Linked DNA regions of Ovis aries. The protein of the gene in region 1 interacts with the protein of each later gene in a biochemical or structural test. Links are inferred from orthologs where the notes say so. Each region holds a gene or a part of one and is shown on either strand. Other genes may lie near its edges.

Region 1 (14,385 bases):
GTCTGGAGTTGCCCAGGAGGTAGGAGCGGGTGACCAGGCTGTCCCCGAAGCTGCCACCCCCACTGCCCCCCACACTTCGGTAGCTGCGAGTGACTGTAACACTGGAGGCGGAGGAGCCAGAGGAGATGGATCCGCCCACCTGGGCTCCCGAGCCGCTGGCAGGCGCCTTGTCTGCGGGCTGCCCGCAAGTCCCGCACAGCACGGTGCGCGAGCGCAGGTTGTACTCGGCGGGGTCCCCCGAGCTGCTGCCTGCGTGGGAGCCCTGAGGAGGGAGACAAGGCTCAGGCCGGACGGCGAGTCTGGGACTGACCGCTCAGGCCCAACACCCAGGCTCCGCGCTCCGGCAGGGTCCAGGCAGAAAGGTGGGCTTCTGCGCCTAAGTAACCTAACTGGTGGGTGGTATAGGGCTTGGGGTGGGGAGCCTGGGCTGGGAAGAGGGGAAGGGAAGGACATGACAGGAGGAAGGGTCAGGAAGACTTGGGGACAGGCAGGGGACGGGAGCCAGGCTTTGACTCTTGTCTTAGCTACTCTAAGCTTCAGAGGGAAAGGAGAGAGAGTCAGCAAGCTTGTAGAGCGGCAGGCATGCAAAATTAATTGGGAGGAGGGTAGGTGCAAGAGACCCTTCTCCCAGGAAAAATGGGGAAAACGAGAGGCCATGCACGTGACCAGGATGAGGAGGAGACAAGAAAGGAGATGCAAGCGAGAGAAGTGTGGGCGGAGAGAGGCAGGGCTGCGTGCCCCGCGTCTGTCCTCCCTTCCCCGCCCGGGGGATAAATCCGGACTCTTGTCCACCGCTCCCATGGGAAGACTCCGTGGCATCAGAAGTTCCCGCTCCCTTCCTTACCAGAGTAGGGCACCCAGACACCTGGGTTCCCTGTTCAAGGTATAGGGAGGAGAGAGAAGAAAAGCCAGGGCAGCGAGTGAAGTTCCAAAATGTTCTTTAATGAAAAGATTTTTTGGCAGGGGGAGGCCAGGGAGAGGGTGTCCCCAGGCCGGGCTGGGTGCCCTGGCGTGGGCTGGGCCTCAGCGGCGGCTGCCACTCACGTGGTGGTGATGGAGCAGATCGTCTCCATCCTCATCGTCGTCGTCCTCGACCACGGTCACTGAGCGCACCAGCTTGCGCATGGCCACCTCCTGCCGCGGACACAGGACAAGGCTGAGGGTTAGGGGCTGCAGGTCGGAGAAAGGGTGTGCAGCATACCCACCCCAGTGACCTCCAGGAGCCTGCTCGCGCTCTGCCCCCCGTCCAGGCTGCCACTTGCTCTGTCCTCCGGGGCGCTGGAGGTAAGACACTTGTTTCTACTCCAGGGACGTGCTGTCCAGGTCTCTGGATAGGAGCATGATCTGCCCTTAACCATGCTCACTGTCTAACCCCCACCCCTCCTGCTGCAAGGGGAGCTATCTCTGGGTGGAGAGTTTGGGCCCTGGGAGAAAGCGGCCCTGAATTGGCCTGGGGGCAGCTGCCTCCGACTCTGGCTGCGGGGGAAGCCTTGTCCAGTGAGAGGCCAGCCTGCAGCACACTCACTTCCCCAGTGGAGTTGATGAGAGCTGTGCGCAGGCTGTTTCCGCAGCCCCAGGTGTTCTGCGCCTTCCACACCAGGTCGGTAGGGGGGCTGTGGGTGGCCCCAGCTCCTGCAGCCCAGATCTGGGGGATGGAGAATTCATTAGAGAAGGGCACTCACGCTCCAGCACACCCAGCCTCAGGCCAGCCCATCCCCACCCGAGGTCATCCGAAACACCCAGCCACTCACCGTCACCACCTGCCCGGCCTTCAGAGTGAACTTTGGTGGGAAGCGGTAGGTCAGCAGGGGGTCATCTCCATTCTGGCGCTTGATTTGCCAGTTGCCCATGGACTGGTCCTGCCCGAGAGGGAAGGGGCAGGTGAGAGAGGCTACTTCAGGCTCTTAGAGGGTTTATCACCTTCTATTCCTCCCCTCACAGCTCTCCCCCTTCAAGGATAAACAACAGCTACATCTAGGGGCACTTAGGCTGTACCAGACCTATTCAGTCCTTCCATCTTCCCAAGAACTCAAAAGTTAGGGGCCATTGTTCATGCCTGTTCTGCAGATGACAATGCTAGGAGAGGTTAAATACATTGTCCAAGAAGGTCTCACTGCACTGATGAGTCCCGGGGCCAGGAATGGAACCGGAGCGTGGAGGAGATACCCACACTTGCCCTGGTCTGATGTGAGGAACCCCCCTCCCCGCAAACTCCACCCCTTCACCGTCCAGGTCGTCTCCCTAAGCCGACCTGGGAGGCCTACCTCGTTGGACTTGTTGCGCAGGCGCACGAACTTGCCTTCCTCGTCCACCTCCTCCACGGCCACGCGCCCGCTGGTGCGAGCGTGCTGGGAGAAGCTGCTCCGGCTCTCGGTGGACTCCAGCTTGCGCTTTTTGGCGACGCTGCTCCCACTCTGGGTCTGGGACGAGTGGGAGGAGGCCCGGCCTCGGCTGCGCTGCGAGGTCGGGCTGGGGGACAGGCGGAGCCTGTGGAGGGGGAGGCAGGGGTGAGGGGGCCTGGTCAAGGCGGGTGGCGGGCGGCAGGAGGAAGGGGCCTCCGCCTGCCGCCCCGGAGCCCACCTCTCCTCCTCGCCCTCCAGGAGCTTGCGGTAGGCGTGGATCTCCATGTCCAGGGCCAGCTTGATGTCCAGCAGCTCCTGGTATTCATCCAGCTGCTGTTGCATCCTTGCCCGCATTTCCGCCATCTCCCGCTCCTTGTCCGCCAGCAGCCGCCGGCTGGTGTCGCGCTCACGGGCCAGCGAGTCCTCCAGGTCCCGCAGCTTCGCTTCCTTAGCTGCCAGCTGGTTGAGGGGGAATGGGGGTCTGGTGAGCTCTCGAGGTCCCCGAGTATGGAGAGGTAAGGGATAGGGGTGGGGCACCCCCCCGGGGCACACACCCTCCCACCCCCTCCCCCACCCCTGTCTTCAGGCTCCCATCAGAGCCTTTCATGGGCTCTAATGTGGCTGGGGCTGGCTGGCGACTGCGGAGTCCTTCTCAACATCCAACTGAAATCTCTTAACTTGAGGCTAGAACCTATTTCCTCTGCTACAAATGGCACAGCCAGCGACAATATTGATGCTGTTAACACCTCACTATGCCTGCAATGCAGGAGACCCCGGATCAGTCCCTGGGTTGGGAAGATCCCCTGGAGAAGGGAATGGCTACCCATTCTCCAGTATTCTTGCCTGGGAAAGCCCATGGACAGAGGAGCCTGGCAGGCTACAATCTGTGGGGTCACACAGAGTCAAACATGACTGAGTGACTAACACTTTCACTCTTTTTTTTTTTCCACTTTTAACACCTCACACTGTAGTCTTGTGGCAGATCTGAGTTAGGGAGGACAGGAATGATCTCCATATTCAAATGGGAAAACCTAGGCTCTGAGAAGTGAAGGTCAAGCAGGTAAATATCAAGAGATAAGAGGTAGTCCTGGACCAGCAAACAGGTCATGTGGCTCCAAATCCCAGGCTTCTTACTCAGTCCATGCTCCTCGGGGCATGTTCTGCGCCGGCCCTATGGGGGAGGGGAGGGGCGGTGGAGGGGAGGGGCGGTGGGGGGGGGGGGGGGGGGGGGGGGGGAGGCGGGGCAGCACCTGCTTCTGGAGCTGGCTGAGCTGGGCCGAGAGGCTGTCGATGCGGATGCGGGACTGCTGCAGCTCCTCGTGGGCAGCCCCCACCAGGTTGCTATTCCTCTCCGCTGACTGTCTGGCATTATCCAGCTGGGAGAGAGGACATAGGGTTAGGGCTGCAGGGACCAACCAGGAAGGAGGCAGGGACCCGAGAAGGACATCGCTGCTGCAGCCCGAGGTCCGGAGCAATCCGGGGCCCCGTCCACCTGATCTCCCACAGGACATCTCAGGGAGGGCAGCAGGGAGGGCTGCTGGGGACAGTGGCAGCATGGGAACCCCGGGAGAATGAGCACCTTGGCCGAATAGGTCTTCTCCAGTTCCTTCTTGTACTGCTCCACCTGGTCCTCATGCTGGGCCCGCAGCTCCTGCAGGGCATCCGCCAGCCGGCTCTCAAACTCTCGCTGCTTCCCATTGTCAATCTCCACCAGGCGCGTCTCGTGGCGGCGTTTGGTCTCACGGAGCTCCTGGAAGGGGTGGACCCAGAGACCAAAATCAGAACTAGGCCTTTGAGGATGAGGCCCAAGTGGCTGAGCTCCCAGCCCAATCCTAACACTGAACAAAGTCACTGTGAGCTCCGCTTTAACCTGGGGGCTGGCCACCACTCCCCCCAGCCCTCACCCCGACTCCCCATCACTAGAACAAGCCAGCCTGGCCGGGGAGCTCTGCACACAGCTGATACCCCAGCCCAGCTCTGACATCTTTCACCACCCAGCCCCAGTCCTCCGGTCTGCAGGGCACAGTTCCCACCTCGCTGTAGATGTTCTTCTGGAAGTCCAGCTCCTCCTTCAGGGTTTGCAGCCGGTTCTCAGCATCCACTCGTCGCAGCATTTCATCCTGAAGTTGCTTCTTGGCCTCACCCAGGGCTGCCTCGAGCTGAGAGGAAGGGGACAGAGGTCAGGGAGAGGGGTCATAGGACACCAGAGCTGGAAGGAAGCTGAGAAGGGGGTCATGTCCAGCACCTCCCTTTGTATGTGGAGAAACAGGCCTAAGGAAGCAAGAGCCTTGGATGCCCACAGAGGTGATGACGCATCTACTTCACAGTAATGACCTTGGAGAGTTGCTGTGCTAATGAAAATATAGAGAGTGCCTCCTCTTTCTATAGCTGTATTTTGCTACAGCCACGGAAATATGCCCAGAGTACAGAAGGAACATGAGGGAAGGGACCAAAGTGTGCCTGGGGTGGTAGTGGGGGGCTTGTAGGAAGGCCTCCAGAGTCTGAGATCTGAAGGACAGGCAAGTGGGCAGACAGGAGCAAGTGCAAGGGCGCAGAAGTACGAAAGCACACACATGCGCTTCGGAAGGCTCAGTACTGCTGAAGCCGAAGGATGGAGCCCTGGGGGGAGAGTGACGGCAGAGGTGTCTGGACTGGAAGGCAGGGGCTGGGCCATGGATCCATGGATCGCACCCTTACTGCCACGAAAAGATCGTCTGAAGCCTGAGTAGGGGTGCACCCTTCCTAGATCTTCATCTTAGAAAGCACAACCTGGGCGGTGCAGCTGGGAAGGGCTGGGGGCAGGGCCTGGGAGCAGAATGGCCCAGCCTTGATTTTCTGGCCAAACTGCTGATTTCTCCTAGTCTCTCCACAGTGTACTCTGGTGGCAAGGCCTAGCAGGGAAGAGCGCCCTGGACAGAGGCTTGGTGGCTGACTCTAGTCCTGACCTTACTCTGAGCAGATGTGGCGGTCAGATTGGGAACAAACCTGCTTCTTTGATTCTGTTCCCTAGCTTATACCATGAGACTAGACGCTGGAATCGATAGCAAAGTGTTTGAAAGTAAAGACCATCGTATACATTAAAAACATACGTCCATATATGGTCAGCCATCAGCTCCCAACTAGGGCTCTGTGGACAGTCTACACTCTTCTCTGATCTTCCAGAGAGGTCACGGCTGTCTATAGCAAGGCCAAACGGGAGGGATCCAGGGCCAGGCACAATTCATTTCAAAGTCAGATGGAAACGGTTTGTGGATTCTTTTAAATTCATGGTGCTAGACACCATGGGGAGCAAAGGAGGAAGCACTGTGGTCTGGATGGATGCAGCAATGCTAGGACACAGGAATGGCTCTGATGCGGTGGGACAGGCGCCTCCTGAGAATGCCTGGAGGGAGCAGTGAGTGTGCGTTTGGGCAGGGAGCAGGGTGCCTGCGTTTGGGTGGGTCTCGGGTGGGCCTCACCTTGGCCGCTTGCCCCCGAAGGTCATGCAGCTCGCCCTCCAGCGTGCGCTTCTCGCTGAGAGCAGTGCTCAGTGCGGCCTCCTTGGAGTTGAGCAGAGCCTCCAGGTCCTTGAGCCGGGCCTGGGCGGCCATCAGGTCTCCCTCCTTCTTGGAATTGCTGAAAAAGCCAGAAAAGAGTGGCTTTAAGAGGAGGAGTCTGCGTTCCTAGACAGAGTTAGGTCTCCCAGGGAGAGTGAGAAGTCAGGTCCTGGGAGGTCAGCGGCAGGACCTGGTTCTGCTATCCCCCAAGCTGCCAGGAGAGGGCATCCTTGGCTCTGGTTTGTTTGCGTCTGCCCGCCTCTGGGGCTGGACTCCCACTCTCCCAAGGCCCCCAAAACCCCTTTCCTGCTTCTCCACCCTTCCCATGACTCAGTGCTCAGGAACGTGCCTGGGGCCAAGGGCAAAGCTCAATCCCATGAGCTGAATGCTTTTCCCTCTCTCCCCTCCCATTCCTTTCCAAAGAGACAGAACCACCTTTGTCTCCTGCCCCTTCTCACTTAGGGCCTTAACCTTCTCCCCCCTGACTCCACCCACCTTCCATTCAGCCCAGCCTCCTCCTCTGCAGGGATCCAGACTGCCAGGCTCCTAGCCCTGGGGTCTGAGTGTGCCTGACGCTTATCAGTTTGAGTGCTAAAAGTGTCAGTCACCTGCCCTAGTCCCTTTACACACCAGGGACTGCTGGGAGGGAAAGTTTGGTCAAAGCTCAGGGAGACCTGGAATGAAGACGAGCAGGCATTGTGTTGATCTTTCCCTTTCTCAGGCCCAGTCTGGGTCCCCTGATGGGGCAGAGCACAAGGGTTCCAGCCTTCCCTCTCTCTCGGCCTCATCAGAGCCTGAGAATGCTGAGCCCAACCTATCGACCACAAGCCCAGCATCTGGTTCCAGATGTGACCCAGGCCTCCAGATCCATCTGGGCTCCAGCCTTGAACCTCCACACTCCTCAAACTGGGTAAAGCTTTACCTAGAACCAGTTCAAACGGGGTGGCCTCTGCCACCTCCCTTCCCTTCCCAGGCCCCTGATTATTTCTGCTGGATAGTGACCTGGAGAAATAGACGGATCCTATTTTCTTAAAGACCTCTGGGGAATGCAAGAACTTCCCAGTCGGAATGATCCCTTCACCGATGTGTGGGGAGAGAAAGCACTAGACCCAGGGAGTGGAAGGAAAGAACCCAAGGGCCTAGTCCTAGCTGCCATCTGCGACTCAGCAGACTTCAAGCATGAACCCACTTGGGCAGATGGAAAAAACGAAAAGCAAATGTGGGCAGGGGGAGAAAGAAATCTATCCTGGAAAGCAGAGAAGTGGCCCCGCCAACATTTTTCTCCTGCCACCAAGCCTGCAGCTCCAGGAGCCCCAGCAATTCAGTGTTAAGAAGGATGAAGAAGGCCCAGCAGGAGAAGCTCTGGACGGAGGGCCCAAGACTGGGGCAGTGTGCTTCTGCCGTTAGCTTAGAAGTCTTCAATCAGGAGTCACCTCCCCTCCAACTGGGGTCCACTGAGAGGGGGACAGAGTGCCACCCCGGCAGGCAGGGGAAGGACGTGAAGATCTCGGGGGAGCACCCCCAGCCTTGCTCTGTCCAGGCCTCTGGCCACATTTCAGAACAAGCTGTTTAGAGCAAGAGTGTCTGTCTCCTGTGAAAAGAGGCCCTTCCAGACCTGAAGGAGCTCTCCCCTCCTCCGTCTTAGCCAGAAAAGCTAAAAATAAAGTCAAAACCCAGCTCAGGTTTTGGCTGCCATCCGGCCCATCCCCTGGCTGGGAGCACAGCCCCAACTTTCCATGACTTCAGAACTTTTCCGAAGCTGAGGCAGCTGCAGGGGGAGGAAAGAAGAAGAAGAAAAACCGCTGGTAAAGTGAAGCGACACGGCAGACAAAGATTCTGAGCTCCTTGGGCTGACTCCAGGGCTGGCAGGGACTTCCCAGAACAGGCCTCCCTGCCCTGCAGGCTAACGGCTGGGAGGCTCTCAGAACTTAAGAGAACTGGGAGGAGCTTCGCATAGGTTCCGCTTAACCCCCTCCTTTTACAGATGAGGAAACTGAGGCACAGAGGAGGAAGGTGAGTGACCCCATGTCAAACACAGCATGCAGCTCCGGGGACCCAGGCGGAGTCACAGTCAATTCTGGCTGCTGATCAGGAATCCTCCCCCTGCTCCTCCTCCTCCTCCTCAGCCACAGGTCTAGAGAGAACCGAGCCAGCAGGATACAGGGCTCCCGATCCAGCCAGCCTGAGCTGGGAGCAGCAGGACAGAGCACCATGACGCTTTCAGAAGACGTCTCGAGGGCGTCTCTTCCCTAGTCCCGCCTCCATGGCCTCCTCAGACCCAGAGGAGAAACTTCAGAAGTTCTCCTTGGAAATACCTTTCCTGTGAGAGTGCCAGGCAGACACTGACACAGGAAAATGTAGCTGCATGGTCCCTGCCCTCCGGGGCTCACAGCCTGACAACTGCAGGATTTTGTCCTTCAGTCTAACCTCTTCAGTTAGGACGCTCCCAAAGGTGGGTGGTAGTAATGCCCATATTAATGCTAATAGGACTAATACTGGTAATCACATAATGACAGCAAACAGAGCTGACTGTGTACACGTTATGGCTGTTCAGCCACCAAGTGGTGTCCGATTCTTTGCTCTAAAAACTGTATTAACTGAATTGCCACAGCTTCCCCACTGAGACAGGTGCTAGTCCTAGGTGTCGGAGGAAACAGGCTCAGAGAACTCTGCCCAGGGGGCCTCCAGGATCCTGCAGCAAGTCTGGGAGCAGAGGTGTGAATGGGTGCCGGATGGCTCCCCCTGCCCTGCTAATGGTCTCCAAAGAAATTAAGGGGGCGATTTTCCTTCCCCTTCTGGAGACTCTGATTAGCATTAAAAGAGTTGCAAGGAAAGGACCGACATACACTCTGCGGATGAGGGAAGCCACTTGAGCAGAGAGGTAAGCAAGGAAGAGCCTTTGTGGTTTTCTCAGTCATTTTCCGGGAGCTCCCCTCTGTGGGGAAGCAGCCGCTATCACCCATGGGCTTATGACTCAGACCTCAGGAGCCCTGTGGCCAGGAGCCACACGCACCCCGCAAGAGATGGCTGGGGGTGGGGTGCAGAAGCCAGCGCCTCCCGAACCTCCTCCTCAGTCTTGCCTGTCCACTAGCTCCAACTGACATTGCTTCCTTAGTCGGGGTCCCCAGCCCTAACAGGGATCCCAAGCAGACATTGGCCAGGCGTTCAGCCCAAGGAGCGGTGCTGCCTGTGCCCCAGTCCACTGGGGGCCAGCAATGGGAAAGTTGGGCACATGCTGCCCCACAGTGGGCTGGCAGGAAGAACAGGGTAGGGCAGGCAAGGGGAGCTGGGAAGGGTGGGACCCAGGGGCTCCACAGGTGACTCATCCTCCAGCAGACAATACCCGGGCAGGTGTCAGGAAATCCTCTAGTGCTCACACGGGAGACCCTGGCTGTACCCACGTCCTGCCCAGGCCCCCATGCCACGCCACGGGGAGCCCACTCTCTCCCTCCCATCCGCCAGGCTCCTCCAGCACTGGAGTGGGTTCATCCCAGTGGGCTCCTGATACAAGAAGGGCTGGGCATCCTGTTTCTGAACTCTTCCCACGGCTGGCAAATCTGATCGCAGAAGGCGGGAAAAGTCGGGTGGGGCAGGGCAGGAGAGCAGAGAGGAAAAGGATAAGGCACACACACACAGGCACACACACACGCACACGCACACACACACACACACACGAGAGCAGAGAGGAAAAGGATAAGGCACACACACACAGGCACACACACACGCACACGCACACGCACACGCACACGCACACACACACACACACACACACACACACACACACACACACACACACACACACACACACACACACACGAGAGCTGGGAGCTCCCAGGCTGGGGTGCTATTAGGCAGAGGCTGGAGGGATAGGGGAGCCGGGCTTCAGGGCCACTGCAGGGCAGGGCTTTAGGGGCTTCTTGGGCGGGGGTGGGGGGGGGGGGGGGGGGGAGCAAGGCGCCTGGCGCAGCAAAGGGGCTGCGTGGGCACCGCGCCAGGCGCTGACCTGCCGGCTGAGTCAGCCTCCTCAGCCCAGCTCGGATGCCAGATATGGAAGCCAGGGCGGCCACAGGCCTGTTTGGGCCGGGTTGCTGGGAGCAACTTGCTAGGCCCCGAGGGAAAGGCCCCCATTTCCTCCGCTGGGCTGAGGAACACGAGGCGAGCAGAGACAGCCGGCTGGGGCTAAAAATAATCAGTGGGCGGGGCAGATGGCCACAGGGGCAGTGGAAGAGCCTGGCCAGCCCGCCAGGGCGCCCTCAGACCGCCCCAGTCCCCTCGCTGACCACGCCCCAGGCTCACCAGCCCTCGGAGTTCCCCATCGACGGGCGGAGAAGAGGGGGGAGGGGAGGCGGGAGCACCGAGACCCCGAGGCCCTGGCGTTTCCTGCCTCACTAAAAAGGGAGCCCCCTGTGGCTGGGCAGGGCAAAGCAGGACTGGGTGTGCAGCAGTGAGTCCCAGCCCTCCCCTCTCCTCCCAGACATGTACACCTCTTCCCAGGCTGACTCCCTGCCAGGTGACGGGGTCTATCCTGTGGCCACCCCACGCCGGGCCCCCACATTCCTATCACCCTCCTTTTGTTCCAGCAACTCCTCCCACTTCAATGTATTCTTCCCTCCCTCCACCTATCCAAACCCACACCTGCCTCCTTCGTTTGAGCCCTGTGCCTCCAGACCCAGCCACACCTCTCTCTCCTTTTCCAAGTCCGCTCAGCTGTTGTTTTACGTGCTGGTTTCTTCTCTTTCCAGTTATAAGTGTGTCTCGCGGCTTTTTCTGTATGTCCCCAAATGCCCTGAGGCCAGAAGATTCATATGTTCAAGGTGTCTAAGGGGGAACCTCCTGGAACAATTCCTGCCCTTTTACAGGTGGGGAAACCGAGGCCTGCAGAAGAGTAGGCTCAGACCCTAAAACCCTGCCCTCCCGGTCACCTGAGGACACTCGGAGCAGATGGAGACAGGCTCAGAAAATGGCACGATGCATGCAGGGCTCGCAGAAAGTAGGCAGTAAACCCCCAGGAAGAGTGTCCGGGAGGCACTTGGGCTTCTGCTCAATGGCCAGGAGTCACCCTAGTACCCAAGTGATGACACAGATACCTAGCAAAAGAGCACTCAAACATCAGCTGCGCCACAGCTGTGTGTGGAGCCATGAGGTTCCGCAGTTCCCTCTCCCAGGAGGAACCACTGCTGGGTTTCTAGGCTGGTCTGTGAGTCTGCCATCACTCTCAGGTATGGGCAGGATGTGGAAGGGCAGGGACATTTGGTTCCGCAATCTGGCTTTCAAGGCCCCAGCCCTCTCTGGAAAGGAGACCTTAAGGAGATCCACTGAGAGGGGCAGGTGTTCTAGGGACTGAGAAGCCCCTTGAACCTTCCCCACATGCCACCCTGTGGAAGGTCTGAATGTCTCACACCTGGAAAGTACACGGGAGGATCCCAGTATGGATCCCCGCCCCCACCCCTCCCACCCCGGCACGTGCACCCACAGCAGGCACAGCTCTGCTTCCGCACGCCTCCTTTGGGCGTGACATCCACCACATATGCTCGGGGTCCGAGGGCCCTCGGTTCCCCTTCCAGAGCTGCTAGGCTCCCAGCTGTCCTCACCCCAGACAAAGCCAGGTCTTAATTCCAAGCAAAGGGAGGGTTGGGATGGGGGAACTGGCTGGCGCTGAGAAGGGGGACAGGAGGCCTGTTGACATGTTCAGACGCAACTCCAGCAGAGGCGCTGGGCCTGGCGCAGGGCCAGGCCTGAGTCACAGCTGCTGGGTGTATCAACGTGGCATTGTGCAGCAGCCGGAGAGGCCTGCAGTCCGAGGCCGGTGCGCTGGGGTCCTGGACAACAGGCGGCGGGCTTCCTGACTAACCGCTCCCTCCTGCCAAACTCCACTTTCCCTCTTCCTGGCCTGTCTCTCCAGAAATCATTCCTGTGTTGTCATAAAAATGCAGGCCAAGGCCTGGAACAGACCAAAAGAAGTCAGGGCATGGAGGGGAGAAGGATGGTCTAGGAAGAAGTAGGAGGTCCTGGGTGTGGGAGGGAGGGAGGCCACTGGCCGACATCCCTACAAGAAAGCGATTCAGTTGTCCCTTCTTAGGACGTATTAACCTTCCATCCGATGGCTCACGGTTATTAACCCTGACAACAGCAGGAGGAAGGTGGGAGCCGCACCCCAAGATGGAGAAAGGAAGTTGGGGAGGACCTAGGAGTTCTGGTCCCGCTGCATTCCAGCTCCAGCCTTGGAAGATGCAACGCTGTCTCCCAGCCGGCAGAGGGTGGCAGTGTCATCAGAGCTTTGGGAGGAGGAAGGGTGGGGGGGTGCCTTGGCAATCCCAAACATCCCCCTCTGAACCGCCAGGGACTGCGCTCCTGGAAATCAAGGGTCTCTTACTTCCCTGAGCCAGTCCCGAAAGGGATTCCTGTATTGTTCCCCCTCCATCTGGCCCCCATCTGATTCAGAGCCTCCTCCTTCTTCCTGCCACTCAGAAAATTAGTTTTCAAAAAAGGCCGTCCCTCAGTCTTTCTTTCTCTGCCTGGACAATTCAGGGTCTCCCATCCACTCTCTACTCTGCCCTCTACCATGACTCAGCTCCTCTGCTGGGCCTGGGATTTTGGCCAGAATTATTCCTGGTTTCGACAGGCAGGATTCAGGCTTCCTCACAAAAGGACAGGGGAGTGTGGCCCCCTACTCTGCCCCACCTCCTTCCCAAAGTATCCCCCTTCCTTGAGTGTTTAGGGACAAGACCTCCTCACAGCCCAGCCTCAATGGGGGCATGAAGAGCAGAAGGTGGGCAGTTCAAGGTCACCCTGCACCTCCCTCTGATTCCGGCCCATGCTGTCTAATCCCGGCCAGCACTAAGGTAATGGGCCTGCCTGCCTGCCCCAGAGCCTCTGCTTCTTCTCCAGCACAGGTCCTCGGGACTCTCCTGCATGGTACAGCCTCAAGGGAGGTATGCTCAAAATACAGTGTCCTTTCCTAATAGTAATAAAAACAAAGCCTAAGCCAAGAGTGTAATGTCATAATAATTACCTGTTTGTCACAAACTTTCTTGGAAAAAGAGAGGAGGGTGTTAGTACTTTTAATTCCACAGCTTGTGGGAAATATTTCTATTGCGAATAGCATTGGCTATTAACTATTTTCACATTAATTATGTCTGATTTTTATATGCATAGCTTGGTATTTTAGAGAACTGTTTTCTCACTTTGTGGGTCATGGTACTACTTTGGAACTGGAGGCATCTCTGGAGATCTTCTGCCCTAACCCCTTTCTTTTACAGCTAGGGAAATCCAGAGGTGGAGGGTGATTTCTTCAAGGTCACAGAGCAGTTTAGAGGCAGGGCTAAGCCTGGAACTAAGGACACCGAGGGCCAGGGGTATTTTCACTGCCTCATGCTACCTGTCAGTTTGTTGGTAGATCACCTTGCCTTTTGTTAAGAGAAAGGAGACCCTGCAGCCTTCCCCATAGAACCTCTTTCCTCACCATCTCCAAGAACATTAGAGCTTAGCCTGTGTCATCTTCAGTTCAGGAGTCGGGGTTCCAGGGGCCAGGGAGGTAAGAATGGAATGAACTGCCCTGGACCTCTGGGCCAGACCTGGTCCTGGCTGCTGAAGCTGCTAAAGGTGGTCAGGGGCTGGGGAGGAGGGAGACTGGGGGGTGGGGGGAGGAGCACAGGGAAGCAGGGGGCACAGTAGGTAGGTAAAGCCATCTCCTCCCAGTTGTCCCCCCAGCTGTCCCTGCCTTCAGCCCTGACACTGAGCTACTGAATCACTGGGGGTGGGCCTGGGAGTGCAGACAATGGGCTCATTCCGTGCAAGAGTAAGCCTCAGACCCCTGGAGGCCAGGGGATGTGCCAGGGACATGGCATCAACCATGGGAGGGCCGTCGTCGGGACCCTAGCAGGAATTACAGTCTTTCTTGTTTCTCTTGGGCTTCTCAAGTACTTCCAGCTCAGCCCCTGGGGTTAATAGTACTTTCTTCTTTCCATTTGAATAAGAATGTGGACTTCAGGGTGAGGGGTAGCGTGGAGAAATGACTACAGGAGCACGCCCAGTATCCTCAAAGGCCTCCATCCCCGCTATCCTTATCCCCAAAGGGCACACTTTCTTACACGTCCAGGCAGGCAATTCCTATGACAAGTCCCAAGACGGTCTCAAGACAGGAGTTACCAGCCTCTCACAGCTCATGATTCATGGCCTGGAAGGGTCCTGGGTCTTTCCAGGTATGGGCTGTGGCAAAGACTATTGATCAAGTGATAACAGGCCCTGCAGGACAGCAGAACATTAAGACAACACTGGCCTCAGAGCAGAATCTCCAGAGTGCAGGGGTGCACTTCAGTCACCCCAACCCTCCTTCCACATCCTCCAACCTGTCCCTGAAGCTAGAGAAGTGAGGTTTAATGGTGTGTGTGTGTGCATGCTAAGTCACTTCTGTTGTGTCCAACTCTGTGCAGCCTTATGGACTGTAGCCTCCAGGCTCCTCTGTCCATGGGGATCCTCCAGGCAAGAATACTGGAGTGGGTTGCCAT
Region 2 (14,943 bases), on another chromosome or scaffold:
AAGGGGGACAGAAGCCCTGGCTGCCAGCCTTAGGCTTCTTCCCTATTTGGGGGGTGATAAGAGATGGGGCTCTAACGAGTTCTTGTCCCCAGGGGACATAGTATCACCACCAGGTGGCGCCCCATCCCAAAGCCCCCAGATAGGGCAGTCCCTGGAAGCTGAAATACAGCTCTTTCATATTTTCCCTTATTTGGAGTCGATTTCTTGGATGTTGTTAGACACACCCCGCCTCCCACCCCAACTCCTTCCCTCAGACCCCAAGCCAGGCCCTCCCACGGCTGGTGAAAGAGAGGCACAGGGTGGCAGGAGAGGCTGCCCAAGCCCAGGTGTGGCAGGCAGGCTGACAACGCTCCAGGGCTGAATTCCCACCTTGACTGCGCTGCTAGGAGCCCGTGCAGGTGGGTCTCCCAGCGGCCGTCACCTACTCCTCCTGGCCCAGGAATTGGGGTGGGTGGGGGTGGGGGGCTGGCCTTCACATCCTGCCTGGCAGTGAACATCCAGCTCAGAGCCAACCTGGGACAGGGCCCAGCCTCGAATCTAGCATGGCCAACCCCATGTGCCCTCGCCCCAGTGGAGCGCAGCAGCCCAGAAGCCAGCCCCACACCTCTACCCAACGCAGCCAATGCCCAGAGCACTGATGTCAGGGAGGAACCGACCGTCGACATCCCTCCTGGGGGCATATTGGCTGCAAAGTGTCTTTCCAGGTGGCCTCTCGCCCTGACCCCACACAACGTCCTGCTTCAGAGCCCTGCCTTCCTGGACAGTCATGCAATGACCTGCCCCCCAGTTCACCCTCCCAGGGCACCCCCATGGCTGTTGGGCTCTCACACTGCGGGGCCAGACCCAGATTCCCCAGGAAACCAGGGAAGGCGGCTGCACCACCACACCCCGGCTTGCAGCTGGCCCCGGGCACCCCACCACCAACTCCGTGAGCTGCCCGCCGACCACTCTGCTCGGTGCCCGCCAACCGCTCCGCCCGGTGCCCGCCGCGGACGCCTCACCTTCTCTCCCTGCGGGCGGCCGGCGGCCGCGGGGTGGCGCCTGGCAGATCTTCGAGCCCGCGCCTGGCGCCTCGGGGCTCTGCTGGCGTCTGCTGCGCGCCGGGCGCCTCCACGCGAATGGGCCGCTGCCGCCCGCCTTCTTGTTGGCCGCACCCCCGCCCCGCACCCGGCCCGACTCGGCCCGACGAGAAAGCCTTAATTGGTAAAAATCACCCAGGAGCGGGGCGGGGGGGGGGTTTCGAGGGGGGGCCCCGCGGGGGCGCGCCGTGAGCTCAGGCGCCTGGGCAGCCGGCGACGCCCCCCTACCCCCGTTGAGATGAGCTCACCCTCTGCTGACGGGGAGGGGCGGCCCGGAGGGTCTGCAGAGCCTGCGTCTCGGCCCAGCAACGAAGGCCACCTCCTCCAGGGAGCTGCCCAGTCTTGCGCCGCCCCCCTACCTTTACCCCAAGCCTGGGGCTGGTCGGACTAGTTGGATTCTACCTTGGAGGGGGAAGTGCAACAGGCTCTAGCAGGTATGCACTGAGAGCCTCCCACCTGAAAGTCTGCACGGGGGCAGGGACCTGAGCCCCAAGACAAGCCAAACAACATCCCGGGCTGGCATGGGTTTGGCCCCTGCCCAGTGCCAGGCCTGGCCTGGAAGCAAGCAACAGAAGTGGACTGAATTCTCAGCAGCACAGTTAGCTGCAGTCCTGAGGCCTGGGCATGGACAGTGGGGTGCAGCCGAGGAGCCAAGCGTCTGGGGAACTAGGTGGGCACAGCCACACCCTGGCACTGCCAGGCTCCCTCTTCGTCTTCTGTGTGCCCATTTCCTGGTATTAACAGCGTCGTATTCAGCTCAAATGTCACTTCCTCGGGGAAAGCCACACAAAGCAGTGTCTTCTCACTGTGCCCACAACCCCCACAAAGAACTGCATCTTACATCCTGAGCCAATATTTGCAGGCACACACGCAGATCGACACAAATGGCTGAAATAAACGTTCCACGAAGTGAGACTGTCCCTTACCACCTGAAAAGCACTCTGATCTTTCTTCTTTTATTCTACTTCATTAAAGGAGAAAAAGCAAAGAAGGGAGCTGCTGCTGCTGCTAAGTCGCTTCAGTCGTGTCTGATTCTGTGTGACCCCATAGACAGCAGCCCACCAGGCTCCGCCGTCCCTGGGATTCTCCAGGCAAGAACACTGGAGTGGGTTGCCATTTCCTTCTCCAAAAAGAAGGGAGGGAGGGAGGCAAAAGGGGAGAAGCAGGAAGGAACAGGGGGGAAGAAAGGAGAAGTCTGCTGTCACCTGCTAACGTAGTTTGATATCTACAGCTGCACACTAACAGGAAGGCACTGATTGCCCTCCAGGCCTCTCCGCAGCCACTGCTGCCTTTGTTGGCAATGACCTCTCCACCTTGACCCCAGGTGAGATCGCCTAGCAGTGGCCTCGGTCTCTGTTTCTCCCCGCCCCATCTAGTGGGATCCACCCCTCCGCCCCTCACGGCAGTGGGTTATCCTCCCTTGATAGATGAGCAGTCTCAGTTTAGGTCCACAAGGTAGCTCATGGCCAAGGCTATCCTTCAAGGAGGGACACCCACCTGCCAGAGGCATTGCAATGGGAATCAGTGTACAATAGCTGGGGTAGCAGAAAGGAAGTGATGGCTTCATGGCTGGATCTCAGGACCCCCCACCTCCGTTTTAATCCTCTCTTTACTCTCTCTCTCCCCTCCCTCCACACCCCTGAGACACATGCAACTCAGGGTCTCTACTTTTCCAGGTCTGGGGGGAATGAAGGTTTATATAGCACCAGCTCTTCCCTGGTAAAAGATTTTAACAAAGGCTTTTGCTCCTTGTGTTGATGGAGAAGGAAATGACAATCCACTCCAGTACTCTTGCCTGGAAAATCCCATGGACAGAGGAGCCTGGTGGGCTACAGTCCATGGGGTTCAAGAGTCGGACAGGACTTAGCGACTAAACCATCACCTTGTGTTGAAGGTTCCACAAAAGCACTAGAAGCAGCTCCATTCCTGCTGCCATGCCGACTGTCCCAAGGCAGACTGACGTGTCCTAGGACTGGAACACAAGGTGTCACCTGAGAGGTTTTTGGTCAGCTAACCATTCCCTGCTATATATTGATTGTGACAACCTTCCAAACGGTCATTTTCACACTAGTCACCATCTTACAACTTTTGTTACCATCTGAGCCATGTTTTAAAGCATTCGACTGCTAGGCCAAACCCAGAGGATCTTTAACATCCTTAAAGGGAAAAAGTAAGCTTTGTATTGTACCAAAGGATTCAGGTTCTGATCTTAAAACATTAATCACTCAGTGAATGTCTCCTTGGACCTGTTGAAAAATGTATTCATGTTGATATTACTTTTCCTTACATTTTTTGATGTTGCTAGGATCACAAGTTACATAATCTATTGCTTAGAATCCTAGTCCTTAAAGGTGAAACTGTCTTGTTACTGACTTGGAATCAGTGGCTTCCAAGCCCTTTTCGCCTCAGCCAAAGTTCCAAAGAAATGCTTGCTTTTAACTCTGCCCACTCTTCCCAGGAAGACTCCCCTCAAGGCCCCAGATTTCCACTAACAGCTCCTCTGCTGACTCGGAATCCCCAGTGGGCCACGCTGTCCAGGTTATGACCCCGAGGGCTAGGTACTGGCTAGGGGAACATCCATGAATGAATTGTTGCCCTGGGTGCCCCTGTATAAGTCCCCTCCTTCTCTGGGCCCTTAATTCCTCCTCGATGTCATTGTGGCAGTGCCAAGGGCCTCTCAGCTCTGATGGTCAAGGGCTTGCCTGGTTTCTAGTGGTTTGAGACAGGTCTGCCTGCAGTGGGGCTGGCTTGGGGCTCCAGGTGGGCTCATGTGCAGGAGACCATCACAGGTCAGCCATGTGGTGCCATCTGTGGTGGGACCTCATAGTGGGGCAACTGGGGGAGAGGGAAATAAAAGGCAAAGGGCCAAGGCAGGTGCCGGGGAGGGGGTGCTCCCAGAGGAGAAGGCAAACTTAGAATTCCTTGACCTCATAAGGAAACGGCTTGGGTCTGTATGGGGCGGGGGTTGGCAAGGGGAGGCTGGCCTCCGGGACAGGGGCCAGCACTGCAAAAGAAGGCTTAGAGAGGTGCTGGGGAATCTGATCTGGCCCAAACTCCAAATTCCGTGAAGCCGGCTCTGAGGAGCCCAGAGCCCAAATGCCATCTCCCTCCCTGCTCAGAGATAAGCAGCAAGACCCTTGCCCTGCCTGGGGGCGCTGCCCCTCATCCGACCATGCATGCGTGGGGCCCTCATATTTTGGGAGATGGAGAAAGCCTCATTTCTAAAACCTGGCCAACAGCAACCTTGAGGAGGGGCTTCGTATGTGGTTAAACCAGGGCCCTATCTTCTCTCCACCCCATGAAGGAACTTTTGCTGAGACCGAGGCTGTGACCCTCACCAACTGGGCCAGTCTGCCAGCCTTCATCTCAGTTCCGGGAGAGGCACTTAAGTTTCCCCTCATTCCATTGGCTGGCTTTGTTAGAATGTCACTGTCATCTTCTTCCTAATTTTCATGGGACAGCTCTTCCTGACCAAGGCTCTCACCAACTCCCTGTGACAGGCCCTGGCTGCCTTCCATGGTTTGCCCCCCTCAGTCCCCTGGCCCCCCTGTCTGGGAGGCTCCCTCTGCACTCCCACGACCCTGAAGCCCACTGAGACCCAGGTGCTCAGAGTGCATTATCGGAAGCCTGGGGCAGGTCCCTCTGGCAGCCTCCTGGGTCACGCTGGGCTCAGGGGCCATCCCAGCCACGGTGGGGAAGCCCCTCGCGCCTCTGGTGCACTGCCGGTGGGTGAGGCAGACACCCGCCATCTCGGCATCACAGGGCGCCCCATGCCAGTGCCCATTGGCATGCCCGGGCCCCTTCCAAGGCTGCTGGCTCCTGGAGGGCCGGTGGCCTCCTGGCCCAGTGCCCCATTTCCTCTGGGGTGCAAGGGGAGGGAGGGAGGCGGTGGGAACCGGCGGGCGCAGGCCAGGATCCTGCAGAGCGGGAAGGCGTGCTGGGGCAGGGGGTCTGGGGCTCTGGGGGGCGGTTTATGGTCAGGTGGCTACAGGCTTCCTTGGTGTGGCGCGCGCGCGCACTGCGCGTGCAGCAGCGCCTAGTCTGGACCCGTGCTCTCCAAGGGCTTGCCCCTTCGGATCAGGCCCCTTCTCGCAGCCGCCGGCGACGCGCCCGCCTGGGGCGCGGCCAGGGACCCGCAATTGCTGGAGCAGAGGGGCAGTTGAGACCGAGCGGACTCCACGTGACTCAGGGAGGGCGAGCCCCGCCCAGCGCGCAGCCCCGCCCAGCTCCCGCATCCTGCCCAGTTTCTGCCGGTTGCATGGCCACAGGCCCCGCCCCTCCACCCTTCTGACCCAAATAGCCGAGCGGGTGACGTCGCGGCTCGCGGGCCCCGCCCCGCTCCCAAGCCGGGGCGGGTCTAAGCTAGTTCCCGTCGCGCCCAGGCCCCGCCCCCTCGCTGGGGTCCAGCCCTAAATGCGCCAGCGTGTGACGTCTCTGGGCTCGGGAGCCCCGCCCCTCCCCGCCCATTCGCGAGGCTCCACCAATCTGCGCTGGCAGCTCTCTGCGAGGCCCGGCCCCGCTCCGCACAGCGCGCGCTGCCCGCGGAGACCGAGACTGTGACGCGGGCGTGACGCGCGCGTAGCCGCTCCCGAGGCACTCCTGTTTCCCCTGCCGCGCTCCGAGGCCATCGTCTCTCGGCCGGTGTTGCAAGGCCCAGGCCTCCCCCAGGCCTCCGCCGCCCGCTGCCCGCCATGGACGACTACGCAGTCCTCTCGGACTCCGAGCTGGCCGCCGTGCTGCGCCAGTACAACATCCCACACGGGCCCGTCGTCGGTACGCGGTGGACGGAGGGCGGGCCCGCTCCCCGCGCTTAGCCCCGCGGCCCCCTCTCGGCCCGCTCCCTGACCGCCCTGTGCCCCGCGTCTGATCAGGTTCCACTCGCAAGCTCTACGAAAAGAAAATCTTCGAGTATGAGACCCAGAGGCGGAGGCTCTCGCCCCCGAGCTCGTCCGCATCCTCTTTCTCCTATCGGTTCTCGGGTGAGGCTCCCGTCCCAGGGCCCCGCCTGGCCGCCCTTGGGGACACGGTTTGGGGGACGCTGAGGAAGGGGTCGCGGGGGTGTGGCCAGGGCACTGGCTGGAAGGGGCGCGGGGGAAACGGGAGGGGACCCCTGTGGGCCAATGGTCCTAGCCCCTCCCCCATTCAGACTTAGATTCGGCGTCCGTGGACTCGGATATGTATGATCTGCCCAAGAAAGAGGACGCCTTACTTTACCAGAGCAAGGGTAAGGCAGGGGTGGGGTGGGCACTCTGACACCTTCCTTCCAGTGTCAGCCAGAACCTGAGACCTCAACCCCATGCGTCCTGCAGTAGCCCTGCAGCACCCCCCCCCCCAATGGGATTCAGATTAGGGCCATCGGGCCAGGTGGGGACACCGTTGCCCCTTCTGCTACCGCTGCCCCCCCCTTCCTAAGGCTATAATGATGACTACTATGAGGAGAGTTACTTGACCACCAGGACTTACGGGGAGCCTGAGTCTATGGGCACATCCAAGGGCTTCCGCCAGCCCTCAGCTTCACTCTCAGATGCTGACCCCTTTCACCGCCAGGTGAGCTGAGTTGTCGGGCACCCTGTACTTGGGTACAACCTGAGGGGGTCCTCATGGGGTTTGGATGAGTCAAGGGAACCACTGGGCACAAATGGTGGCTCAGAAACCTCCAGGGAGAGGTGGGGCCTGCAGACACCTGCCTGGTCAAGACCTTTGGGGTGGGGGAAGGGGCTGTCAGAACTGTTTTGACTAGTGTGCCCAGGACGTGCCCTGGCTCTGGTCTGGGATCTAGGTTTGAGCTCTTTTTGAGAATTCTGGGGCAGAAAGTAGGATGCAGGCAGCCGGGACAAGTGGCACGGCCCTGCAGACATAAGGCTGAGGACCAAGAAGGGGGTCTGGAGGGTGGCAGGGCCCAGGCCTTTAATCAGTGTTCAGAACAGGCTGGGAAGGGCAGTTTGGACTGAGGGTATGACCTGTCATACCTACACCGACCCTGTCAATAGGTATTCTCATTCTGATTCACTTCTGTAGGTCCGTGATGACAATCTTTTCTCTTTGGAAGAGGAAGGCAAGGATCGGTGAGTATTAAGGCGAGCCAGGGGCTGGGGCTGATTCAGGACTCAAGCCCTCCTGGTCTACCTACTGCACTCTTTGCCTCAGGGAACGCCTCCTGTATGGCCGGGACAGTGCCTACCAGAACATTGCACACTACCGCCCTATTTCCAACATCTCCAGAAGCTCCCTGGGCCTGTCCTATTATCCCACATCCTCCTCCACCTCGAGTGTGTCCTCATCTTCATCTTCGGCCCCTTCGTGGCTCACCCGCAGAGCCATCCGGCCTGAAAAGCAGGCCCCTGGGGCTGCCGGCCTGAGCCAGGATCGCCAGGTCCCGCTCTGGGGCCAGGTGCTGCTGTTCCTGGTCTTTGCTGCCTTCCTGCTCTTTGTTTACTACTCCATGCAGGCCGAGGATGGCAACCCTTTCTGGGCAGAGCCCTAAGGGTCTGACCTCGTACCTTGGAGGCCGGCTCCTCTTGGAAGCCCTGGCTGACTGCCTTATCAGTGTTTGTTGGGGGAGGGGGGTTGGGGCTTTTCTGTGTGTTCTAGCTTGGGGTTACCAGGACATGGGCAATGTTTGCTGACCCCTGCCCTGTCCTGCCAGGGAGGCAGCAGGCCTGGGCCCTCTGCGGCATGGTGGACCTGGGTGGGCCTGCCTCTGGATCCTCCTGGCCCTGCTTGCCTGTCACCCTTCGGGCCTAGGAGGGCAAGACCCTTCTCCTGGAGAGGAGAACATGGTTTTGGTCATCGCATGCCTCCTATTTGTCGTCACCTCATGGGGGGATTAACCAAAGGCCACCCTGAGTTTGTTTTCGTGGACACAATAAAAGACCATTTATTTTTAATGTGTGGGTTCTTTTCTTTAACATGGGGAGGGGTTGGGCTGCCCCCCTGCTAAAGGCTTCCAGGCCTTGGGTCTCCAGAATTGCCATCCAACTTTGTCAGTTCATCCTTTCGTCCTTTGAGCCTGAGATAGGGATCATAGGCAACCCATAAACTCATTTATGTTTTGCTTTTGGTGCCCGCTCCCTGACATGTTACCAGAAGCTCTTGTAAGTGCTTATAAAAAATAGTCACACAGAGAGCCCACTGGGAAACGCAGGTGAGGCTGCTTGCACCGTGTCAGTTCTGGGTGTTTCAACTGGGACCAGCAGACACCAACTGTGGTGTCCAAGGGCAGAGTGATGGGAAGGAAATGAGGCATCTGCTTGATGGGCTGCTGGAAGGCTGGTTGTCTAATGACAGGGGAAGGCTCTCAGTCCTCTGGAATGTTTCATCTCCTTTTAGTAAACCAGTTCCTCACCTGGGTATTACCACAAGGTTTTCTGCTGTGGGCATTTAACAATTTTCACAGTTTACATGTGATTTTAACATCGAGTTGGAGAAAGAAATGGCAACCTACTCCAGTATTCTTGCCTGGAGAATCCCAAGGACAGAGGAGCCTGGCGGGCTACAGTCCATGGGGTCGCTAAGAGTCTGACACGACTGAACGACTTTCACTCACTTAACATCAAGTGCTAAGGAAACATGGGGTAGAATGCCACACTGTTCGTCTGGGCTCCGCACTGCCTGTAGAGGGCAGTAAAGTCTGGAGAAACAGGCACACAAAAGGGAAGCAAAGGCACCCCCTGGGCCACCATTGGGTGGGACCCTGGCATCTCAGCTCTGACGGGCTCCTTCGTACAGGTGGCAGGACTTGGCAGGGCCTGCCCTCTCACCTGCACGTGCACCATGGGCTCCTGAGCCTTGGGGCTCTCCGCTGTCTATGGCCGCTGGGTAAGCTCTGCTCAGGGCCAGACTGGAACCTTTCTACCAAAGCTTCTGGACACTTCTTTTTGCTGCATCCTAGTCTCCGCACTTTTATGGGGTGGGATGGGGTGGGCGTTTTCCTAAAACCAACAGGCTTTCTTTGTGCATTTCAAATACACCAAAAAGAAATGGCTTCTCATATTCTCACCCCTCCCAGAGCCCCAGCCTCCCTCGTTTGCTGCTAGGCACTCCCACCTGACTCCTGTGGCACCCAGTCCACTGTGGCCGGGACACCCCTGAGCCCCCAGCATCTGTCTCATGCCATCCTAGACCAAGAGCTGAGACACGGATGCTCCGTGGTGGGCGGTGGGCATGGGCAAGAGGTGTGGCCTGCTCATCTGTGACCACAGGGGCAGGTGGTCAAATTAGTGAACTGGAGGGTGGGAGAACAAGGAGTCCCATCGTCAGGGCATCAGAACTCCACAGGGGCATGGCGCAACATCTCATTTCGGCAAGTGATCTCAAGTGCTCCTCCTGGGGGTGGCTGTGCAGCGGGAGACCCACGGGGTCCTGGTGGAGAGGAGGGATTGCAGGGAGGAAGGGGAGAGAGATGGCATGGCCTCTGCACGGAATGGTCCCCTCCGGGCTTCAGATCGTCCATCTGCAGGGCCGAGGGGGAGGCTAGATGTGCTTGGCAACCACTGCTGTGTCTGAAGGGAGACAGAGTTGCCTCCCAGGTGACACAGTCTCCCCCTTTTATTTCTCATGGGTGACGACATCCATTGATCACCATGCACCAGACGGAGGGTTTCTGAGGGCCTTGCTTCAAAATCACTGCTCCAGGGCACTGAGATACCCTCCTCCCAGAGAGCTCTCCTGAGGACTCTGGACCTCCCTCCAGACTCCCGCCAGGCTTAGCCTTGCTTCCAAGGCCCTGGACCCCCATAAGGGCGCCTGAATGCCTCCAAGTGCTCTGGGCACCCCAGCCAAAAGCTTTTGAGGGCTCCGTGAGCCCCCAAGAAACATCAGGCTTCCAAGTCCCCACCTAGGGCTTTCCAGGGCTCTGAGACCAACCTCCAGGCTCCTGCCTGGACCATGGGCTGCAGTGGTACTGGGAGCACAGCAGGGGGCAGCAGCTTCCTAGCGTGCAGGACATCTCCTGCCATCTTAGGTACCACCAGAGCGGAGTCGGGGGATGGTAGTGGTGGTTGGCAGACATGGAGGAGCCTAGGAGGCCCTGGATGAGGCAACTGAGCTGGTAGCTTGGGACCCTGCCAGACAGCCTGAGCAGCATCCCTGGTGGAGCACAGAGAGAAGTGCCCGGGAGGTATGGCAAGCAGGGGGAGCTCCTGATGCCACCCTTGACATCAGCCGCACCCTCCCCCCGCCCCCAGGTCTAGGGGAAGTAGCAGACAGCATTTCACAATCTAGGACCACTCCGACCTTGACCACTCTACTGGGCTAGTCCCAGCACTGAAGAAGCAGCCATCCAAGAGTGGGTACAAGCCTGTGGGTACAAGCCCGTGGGTCCACGAGGATGAACCTCCCCAAGGAACTAAAGAAAAGGAGGGTGTCACTGTTACTGCCCCTGGGGCTGGCCTTTGGCCTTAGGCTCAGCATACCCATGCCCTGGAAACTAGCCCCAGCCCCTCCCCAGGGCAGGCAGGAGCTCAGTAAAGTCCCCTACCACTGGGGGGAGCCAGGTAGGGAGGTCCTCCCAGAAAGCCCCCTCTCACCTCTGCCGGCCCATCAGGCACCAATCCCCTACCTGGACTCACCCAGATTCTCCTGCCTGCTGCCTGGACCAGCCTGCCAAGAGCAGACGGTCCTCCCTGCCATCAGTCTACCCTGCCATCCCGGGTTTCAAAGCCTGCCTGGTGGGGGCCCCTGGAGGGAGAATGGCCCCAGAGGAGAGTGTAACCAGGAGTCCTGTCCCCTCCCTGGATAACACATCGCACCCAGATGGTCATGAGGCCTGCAGGGCGGCAAGAGGAGAAGCTGGAATGTGTAGGGGGAACGATCCTGAGGACAGCCCTGAGGAGAGGCCACGGGCCAGACCAGGCCAGAGCCTCGACCAGGCAGGGGAAGGAGGGAGCGAGACAGGGCGCCACCTCTGGAGGGCTTCTGGAGAGGAGGACACGCAGATGGCACCAGGAGCCCATCTGCTGGGGACAAGCGGCATGAGACCTGGCCCCCCCGGAGCAGAGGAGGGGTCCAGCCACAGGTGCCCGCCGGGGCCCTTCTTCCCTACTAAGCCTGGGGAGGGGGTGTCTGGTCACCCTGTGGGGAGTGGCCCCTGCATCCTGCAGGTCCTGTCTGCTCTGAGTCAGGGGGATGGGGGAGCTGATCACTCCCACACCACAGCCGGCCCGCCCCGCCCCGGGGCACCCCTGCACCTCACTCTCCCTTGTGCCCGCTCCCCCAGGAGGGTGGGCCGGACCTAGGTGAAGCGAGGGGCACAGTGCCCCTCAGGATGGGACGGCACCCACCCACAGAGAGAGAGCCTCGGTGTTTCAATGATGGCGATGGAGGTCTAGAGACCCTTGGAAGTCCTGCACGGCCCCCAGTATGGGCAGCCACACCCCACTCGAGGGCGCAGGACTAGGGCACTGATGGGCACCCCACTGGAACCCCGACGGAGGCAGTGAGCCAAGGGGGGAGCAGCTGATATGTTAGGGTCAGTAAACGTGAAGAGTGATGGACGCTGGCCGCCAGGAACTCGAGTGTGTGTGTGTGTGTGTGTGTGTGTGTGTGCATGCATGTGTGCCTGTGTGTGTGTGTGTGTGTGTGTGTGTGTGTGTGTGATCCAGCTCCAGGTCCCAGCTGTGGACAAGTAACAGTCAGCAAACATGCATAATGGATACTGGCCGCCAGGAACTCGAGTGTGTGTGCATCTGTGCGTCTGTGTGGATCATCCAGGTCCACGTCCAAGCTGTGTGTGTGTATCATCCAGCTCCACGTCCCAGCTGTGGACAGGTCCCCAGAGGACAAGGCCCGCCACCTACAGCAGCCTCCTCCACAGGCCAGGGGCACCCCCAGGAGGACTTATGCACTCGGCAAGGGCACGCTGTGCTGCTCAGAGATCAGGCTGGCCTCAGCCAGCTCCACCACTCGCCACGGATGTCTGCAAGGTCCCCATGAGCCCAGGGAGGCCTCAGCCCAGGGAGCAGGGCTGAATGAGGGGGACTACTCCGGGACCCAGCACTGGCAGAGGCTGGGCTGCTCCAGATGCCTGAGCTCCTGAGGGCAGGCACCATCATGCCCGGCGGGCGGAGGACGAGGACGAGGGTGAAGCCCGGGGCAGGCAGACAGTGGGGCGGGGTCAGGGCTGGGCCGCTGCCCAGACTGTGCCCGTCCACCAGGCGGGTACCTGCAGGAGCTCCGCAAGCCACAGCGCCTGGGAGGCAGGAGAGGGAAGACACTGCCCATGCAGCCCTGGGCCTGAGGGCAGGCTTGAGGAAGGCAGGCCTGAGGAGGGCAAAGATGGCAGGGCAGCCGGCCCCTTGTCGGTCCTTGTGCCTGGGGCTCAGGGGCTGCAAGGCGGCTCTACATAGGGGAACAGTCAGCGGGCCCAGGAGTCTGGGACCACAGGGGGCTTGAGCCTCTCCAGGAGACCCCAGGACCCTGCAGTGGCCCCACATCCTGCCCCACGAGCCACGTCCACGATCCCCGAGGACAGGCCCCGCAAGCTCAGCCTCAGCCTCTGCTTCTGCCCCGGGACGGAGACAGAGAGCCCGGCTCTCCCGAGGCCAGGGTTTTCAGGCTCAAGAAGAGCGTAGTGGCCATGGACGGGGCCAGGAGCTTGCGCCAAGGGCCCCAGCACTGCCCAGAAGCAAGAGGCAACAGGAGGAGCCCTCACCGCCCACAGAAGCTGCATGACACATTCAGAGCCACCAAGCGTGTCACCAGGAGTCCCGTCTCAGTCCCAGCCAGGAGGTGGGGCGGTGGGCACGTCCCCCATGGGCACAGCGGGAGCGCCTTCCTGGGACCAACGGGACACTCAGCTGCCACCCCAGGCTGGCACCAGCCCAGCCCAGGGCTACCGGGCACAGTCATTGAAGAAAAGGGGCTCATCAGCCTTCACCCCCTCAACGGGGGGCCCCTGAGAAGGAGGGGCTGCGGGCAGGGCTGACCACAGGGTGGGGACGCCTCGGAGGTCAGAGAGCACGGGGCTCAGGCCTGAGCACTTGCACAGCCGTGGCGTGCACGGGCTGCCAGGGTGAGAAAGCTTTTGCACCCGTGCCCAGGGCTGCACCACCAGCTGGGATGGCCCTTCGGGCTGCGGACTCCTGGGAGGAGGGCAGAGGGCACACGCCACGGGCTCTGCGGGCCATGCTGGGATCATCACATGGTCTCTCTTTCTCTGGCTTTCCGTGTGTTTGGTCTGCAACCATTTCAAGGTGAAAAGCCACTCTGCCTGTACAACACACACCTGGCATGGCTTGGTTCCGGGCTGCAACCCGCCACCCCTGCTTCCACAAACGACACATTCCTGAGGGGTCTGGGCAGCCTGGGAGTCCCACACCCGGGCTCAGGGGCAGGGACACTCCTTGGAGGCTTCTCATGCGGCACGAACATGAAGAACCCAGGCCCACGCAGGTACTGCTCTCTTCTCCACGGGGTGACCAGTGTGAACCATAAAACCACAGCAGAGGCGAGGGAGTGAGTTATGAGACAAACACTTTGGCTTCCATCTCGGGGCTGCTCTGTCTCTCTGAGATCGCTGGATCTGGGGAAGGCCTGACCCGAGCAGCCCGGTGGGGAGGGACCGTCCCCTGCCGCAGCCCCGTGAACCCTCCAGAAGCAGAGCCTACCCCCCTCCCGCTCCGACACCCCAGGCAGACCAGAGGGCTCTGGCCCCGGAGAAGCCTTGACTGCAGCCTGTGATGGACCCCAGGCCAGAAGCCCCAGCCAGGCCTTCTAGAATCCTGTCCTTCAGACACCTGGGAGATCACAAGTGCTGGTTGTTTTAAGGGACTACACGCCATTTGGGCTAATTTGCTATGCATGCTTGCGTGCTAAATCACTTCAGTCCTGTCCAACTCTTTGCAACCCCATGGACTGTAGCCCTCCAGGCTCCTCTGTCCATGGGATTCTCCAGGCAAGAGTACTAGTGTGTGTTGCCATTGGCTTCTCCAGGGCATCTTCCCAACCCATGTCTCTTATGTCTCCTATGTTGACAGGCAGGTTTTTACTGCTAGCGTCACCTGGGTAGCCCCTTGTTATTCAGCAATGGGTAATTTATACACGATGACTTTAAATGGACAAGATCACCCTAAGTCAACTGGAAGAAAATAAACCGACAAGAAACCCCAGAAACCATTAGGAAGAGCCTGGAAAGTCTGATGACACAAACGCTAAGATCGTCTGCCTAGTCAAACACAAACCCCAAACCACCAAGTCAAGAGACAAGTGACAAAGTGGGGCAAAAAATATTACCAAGATGTGACTCAGGGCTCATATCATTAATGTATAGAGAACTTGAACCAGTCAATAAGAAAAGACTAACAACTCAAAGGAAAAGGGTGCAAGAGAGGGCCTTGGTAAATGCCAATCAAAGCGCCACCCCCCCACCCCACCCCCGAAATGATCCCACTGCAAGAATGTACTCGGGGGCTGGGGTTCCAGAGCTGCTGGTTCTGGGCACATGGGGCAGCTGGACACTGGCATTGCTTTTCATCTGTGGCTCCAACTGGATGGCGGGCCATCCTGGAGCCAAAGACAGACCAGCCTCGGCAAAGACTGGCCAAAGAAGTGGGTGGTGGCGCTGGGTGTTGAGGAGGTCTGGACAGCATCACCCAGGAGCTGGGAGATCCTCTTGGTGAGGAACGTGTGGCAGGAAAGGCAGTGGCTTCCCACCAGCGAGAGAAGGCTGACCACACCTGCAGACCAGACAACTGTCAGGGCAGTTCCTGGGCAGACAACCCCCTTGCGTGTGTGCTAAGGTACTTCAGTCGTGTCCGACTCTTCGCAATCCCATGGACTGTAGTCCACCAGGCTCCTCTGTCCATGGCACTGAGGGCTGCAACCATAGGTGGTCCTGGAGAACAGGAGTGCTTGGGCAAGATTCCCT

What was found.
Region 2: the proteins of LMNA (region 1) and EMD form a complex in vitro, tested with the Homo sapiens proteins (4 studies listed by BioGRID and IntAct, with this or other methods). The link is inferred for Ovis aries from reciprocal best matches to the Homo sapiens genes LMNA and EMD.

Annotation. Positions count from the first base shown.
Region 1 is NC_056054.1:106,141,068-106,155,452, reverse strand, and holds part of LMNA (lamin), read right to left. Parts: intron 5,958-14,385; coding exon 5,801-5,957; intron 4,502-5,800; coding exon 4,376-4,501; intron 4,093-4,375; coding exon 3,922-4,092; intron 3,719-3,921; coding exon 3,593-3,718; intron 2,802-3,592; coding exon 2,581-2,801; intron 2,488-2,580; coding exon 2,265-2,487; intron 1,860-2,264; coding exon 1,752-1,859; intron 1,646-1,751; coding exon 1,526-1,645; intron 1,135-1,525; coding exon 1,045-1,134; intron 263-1,044; coding exon 1-262.
Region 2 is NC_056080.1:80,064,012-80,078,954, reverse strand, and holds EMD (emerin), read left to right. Parts: upstream 1-5,646; 5' UTR 5,647-5,770; coding exon 5,771-5,852; intron 5,853-5,950; coding exon 5,951-6,058; intron 6,059-6,225; coding exon 6,226-6,303; intron 6,304-6,492; coding exon 6,493-6,626; intron 6,627-7,097; coding exon 7,098-7,144; intron 7,145-7,226; coding exon 7,227-7,563; 3' UTR 7,564-7,966; downstream 7,967-14,943. UniProt on the Homo sapiens protein: Stabilizes and promotes the formation of a nuclear actin cortical network. Stimulates actin polymerization in vitro by binding and stabilizing the pointed end of growing filaments. Inhibits beta-catenin activity by preventing its accumulation in the nucleus.